Linked DNA regions of Macaca mulatta. The protein of the gene in region 1 binds, or shares a complex with, the protein of each later gene. Links are inferred from orthologs where the notes say so. Each region holds a gene or a part of one and is shown in the gene's direction. Other genes may lie near its edges.

Region 1 (4,097 bases):
TCACTTGATTGGATCCCCAGAATGCCATTAAACGGATGCAGCAGAATTTTTTAACAGTTTTAAATTCTGTATATTTGATGAAGAGGTTTTATATTTTTGGATTCAAGCCTCTTTTTAAACTTCTACAATGTGGTTCACAAAAATTCCTCATATCCTGCTTTTGAAATATATATTGCAGCTTTCGTAAGTTGGGAAGGTTACATTTCAAGGACTAAAGTTACAGTATACTCAAGGGGTACACAAGCCTAGCACCGCATTTTCCAGAGTGTTCGATAAAGATTGTTAAACTCTAAATCACAGGCCTTTTAATTCTTAAGATAAATAGCAGCAGAAAGAAACATCTTTGGCTTATTTCTGGTAAGGTTTTTATGCTCTATAAAACAAAGAATTGTATTCATCCGCGCAGCACAGATTCTATTAAAAATAAATGTGAGAGTTGTTAATGTAGTACTGCTCATTTACCACCAAAATTCACTCTTCAGGAATAATTCCATCAGTTTAAATTGGATATTGGAATGAGCATTGATTACCTCATGTAATTTGGTAGCCCAAAATTTCTTCATGGAGTTTTGAAGTCACCGGGATTTCAAAGGTTTTAATGAGTTTTTAATTTTTTTAAAATCCTCAAATTTCATTACCTTTAAATTAGGTTGAAACGGGGCGCAAGAGATTGGATTAACACCACAGTAATACTTACTTTGTTCTTAACCATTTCAGGGCTTCTTGAAATAGAGACTGTATGGTGTAATGGAAAAAGCCTTGGAATCTGAGAGCCTGATTCCTGGATTCAGTCCCAGTTCTGCGTGACCTTGGACAAGTTACTTCACTTCTCTGAATTTCCGTTTCCTCCTCTGCAAAATGAGGATAGCAACAGCCACCTTGCAACCCTTACTGGAGCGCGCCCCGCACACCCCGCGCCTGCCTCGACGAAGAGCAGCCATGATTACGACGCCGCCGCCGCCGCTCCGCTACCCGCTTGCGGCTGGCGCCCTCCCCCAGCAGGTGTAGGCGCTGCCGCGCTGCCCCACGCCTTTCCGCAGCTCGCGGGCCTGCGCTTCGGCGTCCCCAAGGAGGCCGCTGCAGGCTGAGGTAGCGCACCGGCCTCTCGCGTCCCAGTCCCGCCCTGGGCGGAGGCAGTGCAGGCGACCCAGCTCGGAGGCCGAGGCCCGGCCCCACGGAGTGCGGAGGAGCGCAGGCGGCCCCCGCCCCTCGGCCCTCCCCCCCGGCCCTCCCTCCGCCCCCTCCGCCCTTGCGCGCCGCCCGCCCGGGTCGCCGCGGGGCCGTGGTGTACGTGCAGAGCGCGCAGAGCGAGTGGCGCCCGCATGCCCTACGCTCCTCCACAGCCTGGGCCGGGCCGCCGAGGAGGCTGAGGCGGCGGCGGCGGCGGCGGCGGAGAGGGCCGGTCTTGCGCTCCCCAGGCCCGCGCGCTTGAGTCCAGGTTGCCATTCGCCGCACAGGCCGCATTCTCTCAGCCCTCGGCAGCGATGAGGCGCTGAGGCGGCCGCCGGCGCTGCGCCGGAGACTAGGACTCGGAAGCGGCCGGGCCGAGGGCGCGGGGTACCGGCCTCCCTGAGGCGAGGGTAGTGGGTACATGGCGCAGTAACGGCCCCTATCTCTCTCCCCGCTCCCCAGCCTCGGGCGAGGCCGTCCGGCCGCCACCCCTCTTGCTCGGCCGCCGCCGCCGCCGCTGCCGCCGCCGCCGCCGCCGCCGCCGCCATGGCCAATGACAGCGGCGGGCCCGGCGGGCCGAGCCCGAGCGAGCGAGACCGGCAGTACTGCGAGCTGTGCGGGAAGATGGAGAACCTGCTGCGCTGCAGCCGCTGCCGCAGCTCCTTCTACTGCTGCAAGGAGCACCAGCGTCAGGACTGGAAGAAGCACAAGCTCGTGTGCCAGGGCAGCGAGAGCGCCCTCGGCCCCGGAGTGGGCCCGCACCAGCACTCCGGCCCCGCGCCGCCGGTTGCAGCGCCGCCGCCCAGGGCCGGGGCCCGGGAGCCCAGGAAGGCAGCGGCGCGCCGGGACAACGCCTCCGGGGACGCGGCCAAGGCAAAAGCAAAGGGCAAGCCCCCGGCCGACCCCGCGGCGGCCGCGTCGCCGTCTCGCGCGGCCCCGGGCGGCCAGGGCTCGGCGGTGGCTGCCGAGGCCGAGCCCGGGAAGGAGGAGCCGCCGGCCCGCTCATCGCTGTTCCAGGAGAAGGCGAACCTGTACCCCCCGAGCAACACGCCCGGGGATGCGCTGAGCCCCAGCGGCGGCCTGCGGCCCAACGGGCAGACGAAGCCCCTGCCGGCGCTGAAGCTGGCGCTCGAGTACATCGTGCCGTGCATGAACAAGCACGGCATCTGTGTGGTGGACGACTTCCTCGGCAAGGAGACCGGACAGCAGATCGGCGACGAGGTGCGCGCCCTGCACGACACCGGGAAGTTCACGGACGGGCAGCTGGTCAGCCAGAAGAGCGACTCGTCCAAGGATATCCGAGGCGATAAGATCACCTGGATCGAGGGCAAGGAGCCCGGCTGCGAAACCATTGGGCTGCTCATGAGCAGCATGGACGACCTGATCCGCCACTGTAACGGGAAGCTGGGCAGCTACAAAATCAATGGCCGGACGAAAGTAAGTGTGTGCTGCGGGTTTGTGCTGGACAGACCCTTCTCGGCGGGCAGTCCCTGCCTGCGACTGTAACCGCCTAGGCTGAGAAGCAGCATTCCTCTGTATAGAAGGGACTCGTTGTGTAGCACCCCGTAAGGAAGACGGACAGAATTTGTAGTGGCTGTTTATCTAGTTAGCCCCTTTGTGTCCGCTGTTTTCCACTTACTGCCCGTTCACAAACTTCTCCGGCTAATTGCATGGTTTTCTGGCTAAACGTAGGCTCTTTAACTTTGCTATTTTCTTTCTTCCATTTCACTGTTGGTCACAATTCAAACCTTAGTGGCGTTTTAGCCACCCAGTGAGGGGGTGTTAGAGTACCACCCAAACCAAGTCCTGGTTCTGCATGTGCCTTGTGTTTGCATACGCTCTTGAATTTCCTATGGTGTCTGAACCACTCATCACATTTTGATTGAGAGTCAAACGCTATGTGCAGTGAAGAGTTTGCCAGCTGACCACAAAAAGGTAAATTTAAAATACGCATTTAGTCGAAAGACTGTCTATATTCAGGAAGAGCTTGGCTACTCACCTCCCCCTCTTATAGCTCTTATCCCTTACCCTGTTCCTACTGTTTTGAAACCCTTTACAAAAAGGGGAAAGAAGTATTTCCGTTTTCAGACTTCTCAGTGTAGGTAGGCTACATTTTTAGCATAAGTTTCCTTTATTTGCTTTGTTAATGTAATCCTTCTGTTGAAAACTGTTTTGTAACTTCCTGGAAAAAAACAAAACAAAACAAACAAAAACAACCACAACATGGAATTGGAGCAGGAGGCTCGTTTTATCCTCCCAATTTGGTGAGTTTTTGTTTTCTCTTTACCGTTGCGGTTTTTCCTCCACAGATTCTTCACTTCCTACCTAGTCTATTCCTAGCTCTTTCCTCCTTCATGATAAACAGTAGACTCTTTCCTCCTTAATACTCTCTTGCAGCTTTTTTTCATTTTACTTCTCAGATCTTGATCTTTTCTGTGTATATAGCTGCTCCCAGGCCGCCCTCCTTCACCATCAGTCTCTGTCTGATTTTGTGAGTTTTGAGAGATTGACCTGGGAGAGCATCACAGTTGCATGTTTGTACACACACGCTGACTCTTAACCAGTGGTTCTTTTTTATGTGTGCGTCAGATCATTTACTTTGACAGTCATTACATGTGATTCTCAGGCTGCCGGAAAGGCTGAACATAGGCAGGGAGAAAGTTACAAACATGAAAATGTGGGGAAAAATACAATGTGAAATCTAATTTACGTATTGCCACTTCATTGCTGGGTGAAGGCACAAGTCTTGATTTCTTGTAGTCTTAAAAAGGAACAGTTGAATAATATTAAACTGGAAGGGAAAGGGGGATCTGATGAAATCTCAGCCTTGGTCTTTCACTAGATTTGCGTTGATATTTTTAAGAAAGAACGTTGTCATGGATCACATCTGAACATAAAGTCCCGAGCTCCAGAGCAGGAAAGAAGTT
Region 2 (3,514 bases), on another chromosome or scaffold:
GTATTGGGATTACAGGCGAGCCACTGCACCCAGCTAGCAATTGTTTTTAAACATTAGTTCCAATGTAGTGTACACTGAAAACTTTTATGAAAGGAATTTCAAAAATTAAACCATTAAAAACATAACTACTAAGTACTACTACTACTACTACTACAATGATAGTTACATGATAGACTGAGTGTACATTTCATAAAGACAATATATCTATATAAGAATTTTTAAACTTGCCTGTCTGTATAATAGAAGTTTTATAGAAATTTTTTAAAAACCAAAGAAAACTGCAAAATAAGAGAGCAGTTAGATCACTTACCTATTTGGCATTCTCAACTATCTGGAACAACAAGGAGCCATTATGATTATGCATTTGGTTTATGGGGGGGTCGAAAAGTCAAAATAATATAACAAAGCTGATGTACTTTACTCATTAGAACAATTCTTCATGATTTAATATTAATTTTAGATATACATAGTTCATGTTTGATAACCAGATCAATACTGAGTGAAAAATAGCATAGTGGAAAGAGCAGGGGAGGGGAGGTAGGGATCTGGAGACCTAGAGTGTACTTTCATATCACAACTAGTGAGCAGTAGGACTTTGAGAAAGTTACCCAATAGGCCTCAGGATTCTCATTTATAAAATGGGTATGATATGCCTGCCTTATCTATCTTGGGAACTTAAGTAAGATTAAAATGAACTAATGAACTTGAAATGTTTTATAAACTGAAAATGCTATATGAATGTGAAATTGATCTTATATTTCAATAGTCCCAACAGTATCACCGCATTGTTATGTTAGGTGGAATAAAAGGACAATATTTAACTGTTTTGACTCTACAATAATGTCAATTTAGTTGTGTTCAGCTGTATTTTATAAAATAGGGATATGCATACTGTAGAAAATTTTCTGTTAAATTAAGCTTTGAAGGCCAGGTGCTCACGCCTGTAATCCCAGCACTTTGGGAGGCCAAGGTGGGCAGATCACTTGCGCTCAGGAGTTTGAGACCACCCTGAGCAACATGGTGAAATCCCATCTCTACAAAAATATATATATATAAATCAGCCATAATCCCATCTACTTGAGAGGCTGAGGTGGGAGGATCACTTGACTCCAGAGACAGAGCTTGGTTATAGTAAGCAGAAATCATGTCTCTGCACTCCAGCCTGGCTGACAGAGTGAGACCCTGTTTCACCCCAAAAAAAACAAGCTTTGACTTTTAGGGTGATAAACTTTAGTAATCAGGAGAGTTATGTTATATATATTACATTCCTTAATATTGGAGAACTAAGGAATTATGTATTTTCTTTAAAAGAGCTCACTGGATATTTTTTTAAAAAATAAAAGAGCTATATTTTCATTTACAATTTTTTTCTTTTCAGAACTACAGTTCCTGAGGAAGAACTAAATCCAAAGATACTAGCTTTGCAGAATGCTCAGAGAAAGCGAAAAATGGAACATGATGGTTCACTTTTTCAAGCAGTAGGAATTGTAAGTATGAGAGTAGTAGGTTTTGCTTTTCTAGCTAATGTGCTATTTCTGTGTGTGTGTGTGTGTGTGTGTGTGTTTCCACGTTTCTTCCAAATAGTAAAGTTATATTTTCAGAATTTATACATTGGGTTTTTTTTTACTCTGTATACACTGGTTTTTAAAAATACAAATGTTTAATGAATACATTCTTGGTATAAAAATTCCAAACAATTCCAATGTATTTTGAATTAAAAAGTGAAGTTCTCCCCTTACTCCACCCTGAATATCACCACCAATCTCATTCTCTTCCCTTTAAGTTACTTTGCCTGATTAAAAGAACTGGTATTGGCCGGGCGCAGTGCCTCACACCTGTAATCCCAGCACTTTGGGAGGCCGAGGCGAGGATCACTTGAGGTCAGGAGTTTGAGACCAGCCTGGCCAACTTGGTGAAACCCTGTCTCTACTAAAAATACAACAATCAGCCAGGTGTGGTAGTGCACGACTGTAATCCCAGCCACTCTGGAGGCTGAGGCAAGAGAATAGCTTGAACCCGGGAGGTGGAGGTTGCGGTGAGCCGAGATCAGGCCACTGCACTCCGCCTGGGTGAGAGAGTAAGAGTCCATCTCAAATTAAAAAAAGAACTGCTATGTTTTGGGGTAAGTCAATGGTGGTATAATACATTCTGATATTTTCAAACTAAATTAACTGGAAAGTATTTATAGACAGAATGGTCATAATGGATGGCAAATAACTTTATGGTCATAATGAATAGCAAATAACTTAAAGTATTTAAAATAATTTAGGGTAGTATTTTAGAAACTGCCTATATAATGTTATTAAATTTACACCGATTTCAAGGTTTTTGGTTGTTTAAAAAAAATTGAACAAACTAAACTTGAAATAACTTTACTGTTTATAGGGAACATTATTACAGCAGCCAGACGATCATGCAGCTACTACATCACTTTCTTGGAAACGTGTAAAAGGATGCAAATCTAGTGAACAGAATGGAATGGAGCAAAAGACAATTATTTTAATACCCTCTGGTTAGTTTATTCTTTCTGACCTTGAACATCACAGAGACAAAATACATGAAACATTTTTGTTTAGGAGCTTTAATCTAAGTGAGAAATGACTTTGGTTCCTTAGCAAGATTAAAAAGTAAAGTTGCGGCTGGGCGCGGTGGCTCACGCCTGTAATCCCAGCACTTTGGGAGGTCGAGGCGGATGGATCATCTGAGGTCAGGAGTTGGAGACCAGCCTGGCTACCATGGTGAAACCCCGTCTCTACTAAAAATACAAAAATTAGCTGGGTGTGGTGGTGGGTGCCTGTAATCCCACCTATTTGGGAGGCTGAGGCATGAGAATCGCTTGAACCCGGGAGGCAGAGGTTGCAATGAGCCAAGATGGCATCACTGCATTCCAGCCTGCGTGACAAGAGTGAGACTCTGCCTCAAAAAAAAAAAAAAAAAAAGTAGTATTTCATTTAATGGTCTTAATACAGAGATTAACATTTCAAGGTGGAGCTTTTCATTTTTCATAATTTTATTTGACTTATCTATGTCTGTGTGCTGTCAATATTGATAGAAGCTGAAATTTGTGAATTTTTATGACTACTTTTTTTTTCTTTTTTTTTCTTTTTTTTGTGAGACAGGGTCTTGCTCTGTTGCCCAGGCCTGGAGTGCAGTGGCATGATCATAGCTCACTGCAGTCTCAAATTCCTGTGCTCAAGCAATCATTTCAGCCCCCTGAGTAGCTTGCACTACAGACATGCCTCACCACGCCCGGCTGCTTTTTGTAGAGATGGGGTCTCACTACGTCGCCCAGGCTGGTTTCAAACTCCTGGCCTCAAGTGATCCTCCTGCCTCAGCCTGTGCTAGGATTACAGGCATCAGCCTCGATGCCCACCATATTTGTGCTTTTTTCCAAACTGTTATTTCTTTGTGCCTTTATTGTATCCTGTAAACATTTCTGAGACAGCAACAGTATCACTTGATTATACTTACTTTTTTACATAGTTGTTGTTTTGCCAGGTAGACTAAAAACCCT
Region 3 (3,514 bases), on another chromosome or scaffold:
TCTGCACCTCTGGGCTTCACTGTCTCCAAACCACTCTGTATGCCATTGCCAGACTAATCTCCCCAAAGCAGTGCTTTGAGATGTACTCCTCTGATCACATTTGCTTGACACATGAGGCCCCTCCAGGACACTGGGCCTGTCTCACCAGCCCAATCTCTGAGACTGGAAGATGGATTCTCCTCTTGAGCCAGATGGGCCTCTCTTCAGTCTAGGAGGGAGCTTGCTCCAGGGGTTTTCCAGTGCTCACACAATCCCATCTGGTTCAGAAGGCCCTTCTTTCATTCCACAGAGTGAAATCTGTTTTTCTAAGTCTCTGCAAATCTTCTTTGGAACAGTTAGTTGTCTGTGATCACCCCAAAGTGACCCCCTCGTCCTCTGACCCTTAGAGCTCGTCCCATCTACACTTTTCCTTGGAAGCCCAGCTATGACACCCTTGAACTTTTACTTAGCTTTGCATCTCTGAGTGCTATATATTCCTCACCCGGGATCTGAGCAATTTGAGGGTAGTGCATGTCTTGGAGCAGAAAGAAGAAAGAATTTACTGTTGTTATAGTTTTAGGCACTTTACATACTTATCTAATCCTTACAATTCAGAGGTGGAAATTGTTATTCCCATTTAGCTGATGAGGAAAGTGATATCCAGAGAGGTTGTTCCTTATTCAGAGTCATAGCCTAATAGGAGGGTGATCTAGGAAGAGAACCTGTGTTTAACTCCAAAGCCTATGAATGGTTGAGTGTGGCTTCTGGATTCAGCTGTCAAAGCTTGCTAACTTTGCAATCTTTATACCTTTGGACAAATGGCTTAACCTCTGTACACTTCATCTGTAAAATGAGATTAAGAATAGTATCTACCTCGTAGGTCACTGTGAAGATTACATAGCATGCTTAGTGCAGTACCTTTCATGTTGTGATTGCAGTATATATTAGCAGCTAAAATTTGTTCCTGCTTCTATGAGTACCGTTATATTCAGGCATACTTTGATTGATGTTTGCACTGGATAAATACAAATTTTCATAAGTAAATGTCTTTGGAGATAAATAATGAACTAGGAGAAAAGGGCTGAAATGAAGTCGGTGGTCTGTGTATAACCACCAAAGACCTGGGGCCCAAGAGGTGTTTTTGGTCTGGGACAAGAGCCGAGTCTACAGGCTGTACAGGTGGTTGCTGGGGGCAGCCTAGGAAAACTTCCACCCCGAACCACTCACACAGCAGCTCCTACTGCTCCCGTTGCTAGTGCCAGAAGTACTGTTGTCACAACAAGCACACTGTCCTCACAGCCCCTGTCAGGGTGTCCTCTGTGCAGTGGTGCTCATCCAGTGCCTGCTGCCGGGCTGGGGCAGACATTCAGATGGTCGGCAGTGCGCGTTTCCAGAAGAGTCCACCCGATGCCTTTGCGCCATCCCTGGCAAATGCCTATCTGTGCCAGTCACATCTGTTTTCACTCCACATTCATGTAACTGTCCCGCCCCCCTCTCTTTCCAGTTTGCTCTGAAAATGAGTCTGAAGCTGAAGCTGACCAGCAGATGGACAACTTGTACCTGAAAGCCTTGGAGGGTTTCATTGCCGTGGTGACCCAAGATGGCGACATGATCTTTCTGTCAGAAAACATCAGCAAGTTCATGGGACTTACACAGGTGACACCCCCCTCTATCTCTTTCAAAAGAAGAAATGTTTCCATTTGGGGGTAGAAATGAGTAGAAGGTGCTAGCCACAATCCCACTTGACCTTTCCCTGTAAATGGCCACTGTGACCCTCGCTGACCTCAGGCCACATGCCTCAGGCCACAGTCCCACCCCCAGGCATTGGGTTTGGCTTTGCTTATGTCCATCCTGGCAGACAGCTCTCTACTGACTCATTAACAGACTCTGTCATCAGTAATCCCCCATTACATCTTTCTGTCTGTGGACCTGACACTGGACTGGGATTATGAGAAAACCCAATTCAATCTCCTCCCTGCCTCCAAATCTGGAAGGTGGCTCAGCTTCCTCTTGGAGTCTTTTACTTCACTGTTAGGAATAATGATGCCTAACCTTGTTTTTGAAACAGGTGGAGCTAACAGGACATAGTATCTTTGACTTCACTCATCCCTGCGACCACGAGGAGATTCGTGAGAACCTGAGTCTCAAAAATGGTATCCTTAATTGTGTTTATTTCCTTCTTGCCCCCACTGGGTGGGAATCTGCCTCCCCTTTGTCTACAAGTATAAGGGAGATAGCTCATGGCCTTGCAATGCAGGAAAAATGGATGTCCTTAAAAAATTTAGCTAGGCTGGCCCTCCGTTTAAGTGTGTAGCCTGTGAGATGAGATTGGGGCATTGAGAGGACCCGGTACTCAGAAGTATCTCCTGCTGGCCCCACATGATGCCTGGTGTCCCACTACTAGGGGACTCTTTTGGGTTAGGACACTGTCTCTAGGAGGTTTCATCACCCAAGAGTCAAGCATCTCTGCCAAATGACACCACCCAAACCAGTGAGAAACCAGTCTGTGCCAAAGTGCTTATAGGAACTACTGTAGTTATCTATTGCTGTGGAACAAACCACCTAAAACATAGGGCTTTGATGATTATCTCCCAGCGTTCTGTGGGTTCAGTGGGTGGGTCTTATACTCCATGTGATGTCAGTGGGGCTGCAGTCATCTGGGGGCCAGACTAGGCTGGGGTGATCAGGATAGCTCACACATGTCTGGGACCTTGTGTCAGGTGGCTGGAACCCTGGATTCAGCTGGCATGCTGGGACAATGGGACTGTTCTGTCACTCCATGGAGTCTCAGAGACTCTCCCTCTCCATACGGTGTCTCTAGGGTAGCCAGACATGTGGCAGCTCAGGGCTCCCAGAAGCACTAAGGTGGAAGTTGCCAGGCCTTCCCAAGGTTTTGTCCTCAAATTAGCAGAGCATCACTTCTGCCCCATGTTGTTGGTTAGAGCATGTTACAGGACAGCCCTGGCTCATTGTGGGAGGAAACTACACAAAGCCATGAGTGTCAAAAGGCATGGCTTGTTGGAGCTACTTTTGGAGATGAGCTACCACAGGAAATGGTACCCTGATGAGACATAGGTCAAGTAGGTTTTGACGGAGAAGAGATTTAAAAAGATCTAGCGTACAGGACCTTACCCATGGGGATACCCAGCAGGTGCCAGTGGATGAGAGGACCCACACAGGCAGAAAGCACGTTGCAATGGCAGTGGAGCTTCCTCTCTCGTAACTGTGGCCATTCAACAAAGGCATGAATAGGGACATTGTTAAGAGGACTGAAGCTTTGGGCAGAAGTGGGGCTTAATGACTGTCAAGGTCCCTTCCAAACCTGAGATTCTGTCACTGGTCTGGGCAGATTCTGTGCATGTCTAGATGTCCTCTTTAATAATATCACCTGTCACTGCCATGGGGCTTATGCTTGTCCAACCTGAATAACAGAGGCAGTGAGGCTAAGCCTACAAGGGTTGGCTCTTATTACCACACATGCTGCAAAAGCAGATACTTCATTGGCTCACCTCCACCCTGTTACAGACTGAGCCTG

The links. Proteins that work in one complex are often made in the same cells at the same time.
Region 2: the proteins of EGLN1 (region 1) and HIF1A are in contact, whole or in part, in a crystal structure (PDB 3HQR), measured with the Homo sapiens proteins. The link is inferred for Macaca mulatta from reciprocal best matches to the Homo sapiens genes EGLN1 and HIF1A. Residues at the interface, in NP_071334.1 of Homo sapiens: Gln239, Leu240, Val241, Ser242, Gln243, Lys244, Ile251, Arg252, Trp258, Lys262, Asp277, Ile280, Arg281, Ile292, Asn293, Gly294, Arg295, Thr296, Lys297, Tyr310, Val311, Arg312, His313, Val314, Asp315, Pro317, Asn318, Asp320, Arg322, Arg370; in NP_001521.1 of Homo sapiens: Leu559, Glu560, Met561, Leu562, Ala563, Pro564, Tyr565, Ile566, Pro567, Met568, Asp570, Asp571, Phe572, Gln573, Leu574.
Region 3: the proteins of EGLN1 (region 1) and EPAS1 are in contact, whole or in part, in a crystal structure (PDB 7Q5X), measured with the Homo sapiens proteins. The link is inferred for Macaca mulatta from reciprocal best matches to the Homo sapiens genes EGLN1 and EPAS1. Residues at the interface, in NP_071334.1 of Homo sapiens: Gln239, Leu240, Val241, Ser242, Lys244, Ile251, Arg252, Trp258, Asp277, Ile280, Arg281, Ile292, Asn293, Gly294, Arg295, Thr296, Lys297, Tyr310, Val311, Arg312, His313, Val314, Asp315, Pro317, Asn318, Asp320, Arg322, Arg370, Trp389, Tyr390; in NP_001421.2 of Homo sapiens: Asp525, Leu526, Glu527, Thr528, Leu529, Ala530, Pro531, Tyr532, Ile533, Pro534, Met535, Asp536, Gly537, Glu538, Asp539, Phe540, Gln541, Leu542.

Annotation. Positions count from the first base shown.
Region 1 is NC_133406.1:17,609,922-17,614,018, forward strand, and holds the start of EGLN1 (egl nine homolog 1), read left to right. Parts: upstream 1-1,287; 5' UTR 1,288-1,716; coding exon 1,717-2,607; intron 2,608-4,097. UniProt on the Homo sapiens protein: Cellular oxygen sensor that catalyzes, under normoxic conditions, the post-translational formation of 4-hydroxyproline in hypoxia-inducible factor (HIF) alpha proteins.
Region 2 is NC_133412.1:134,854,552-134,858,065, forward strand, and holds part of HIF1A (hypoxia-inducible factor 1-alpha), read left to right. Parts: intron 1-1,378; coding exon 1,379-1,487; intron 1,488-2,385; coding exon 2,386-2,512; intron 2,513-3,514.
Region 3 is NC_133418.1:78,484,883-78,488,396, reverse strand, and holds part of EPAS1 (endothelial PAS domain-containing protein 1), read left to right. Parts: intron 1-1,483; coding exon 1,484-1,635; intron 1,636-2,047; coding exon 2,048-2,132; intron 2,133-3,514.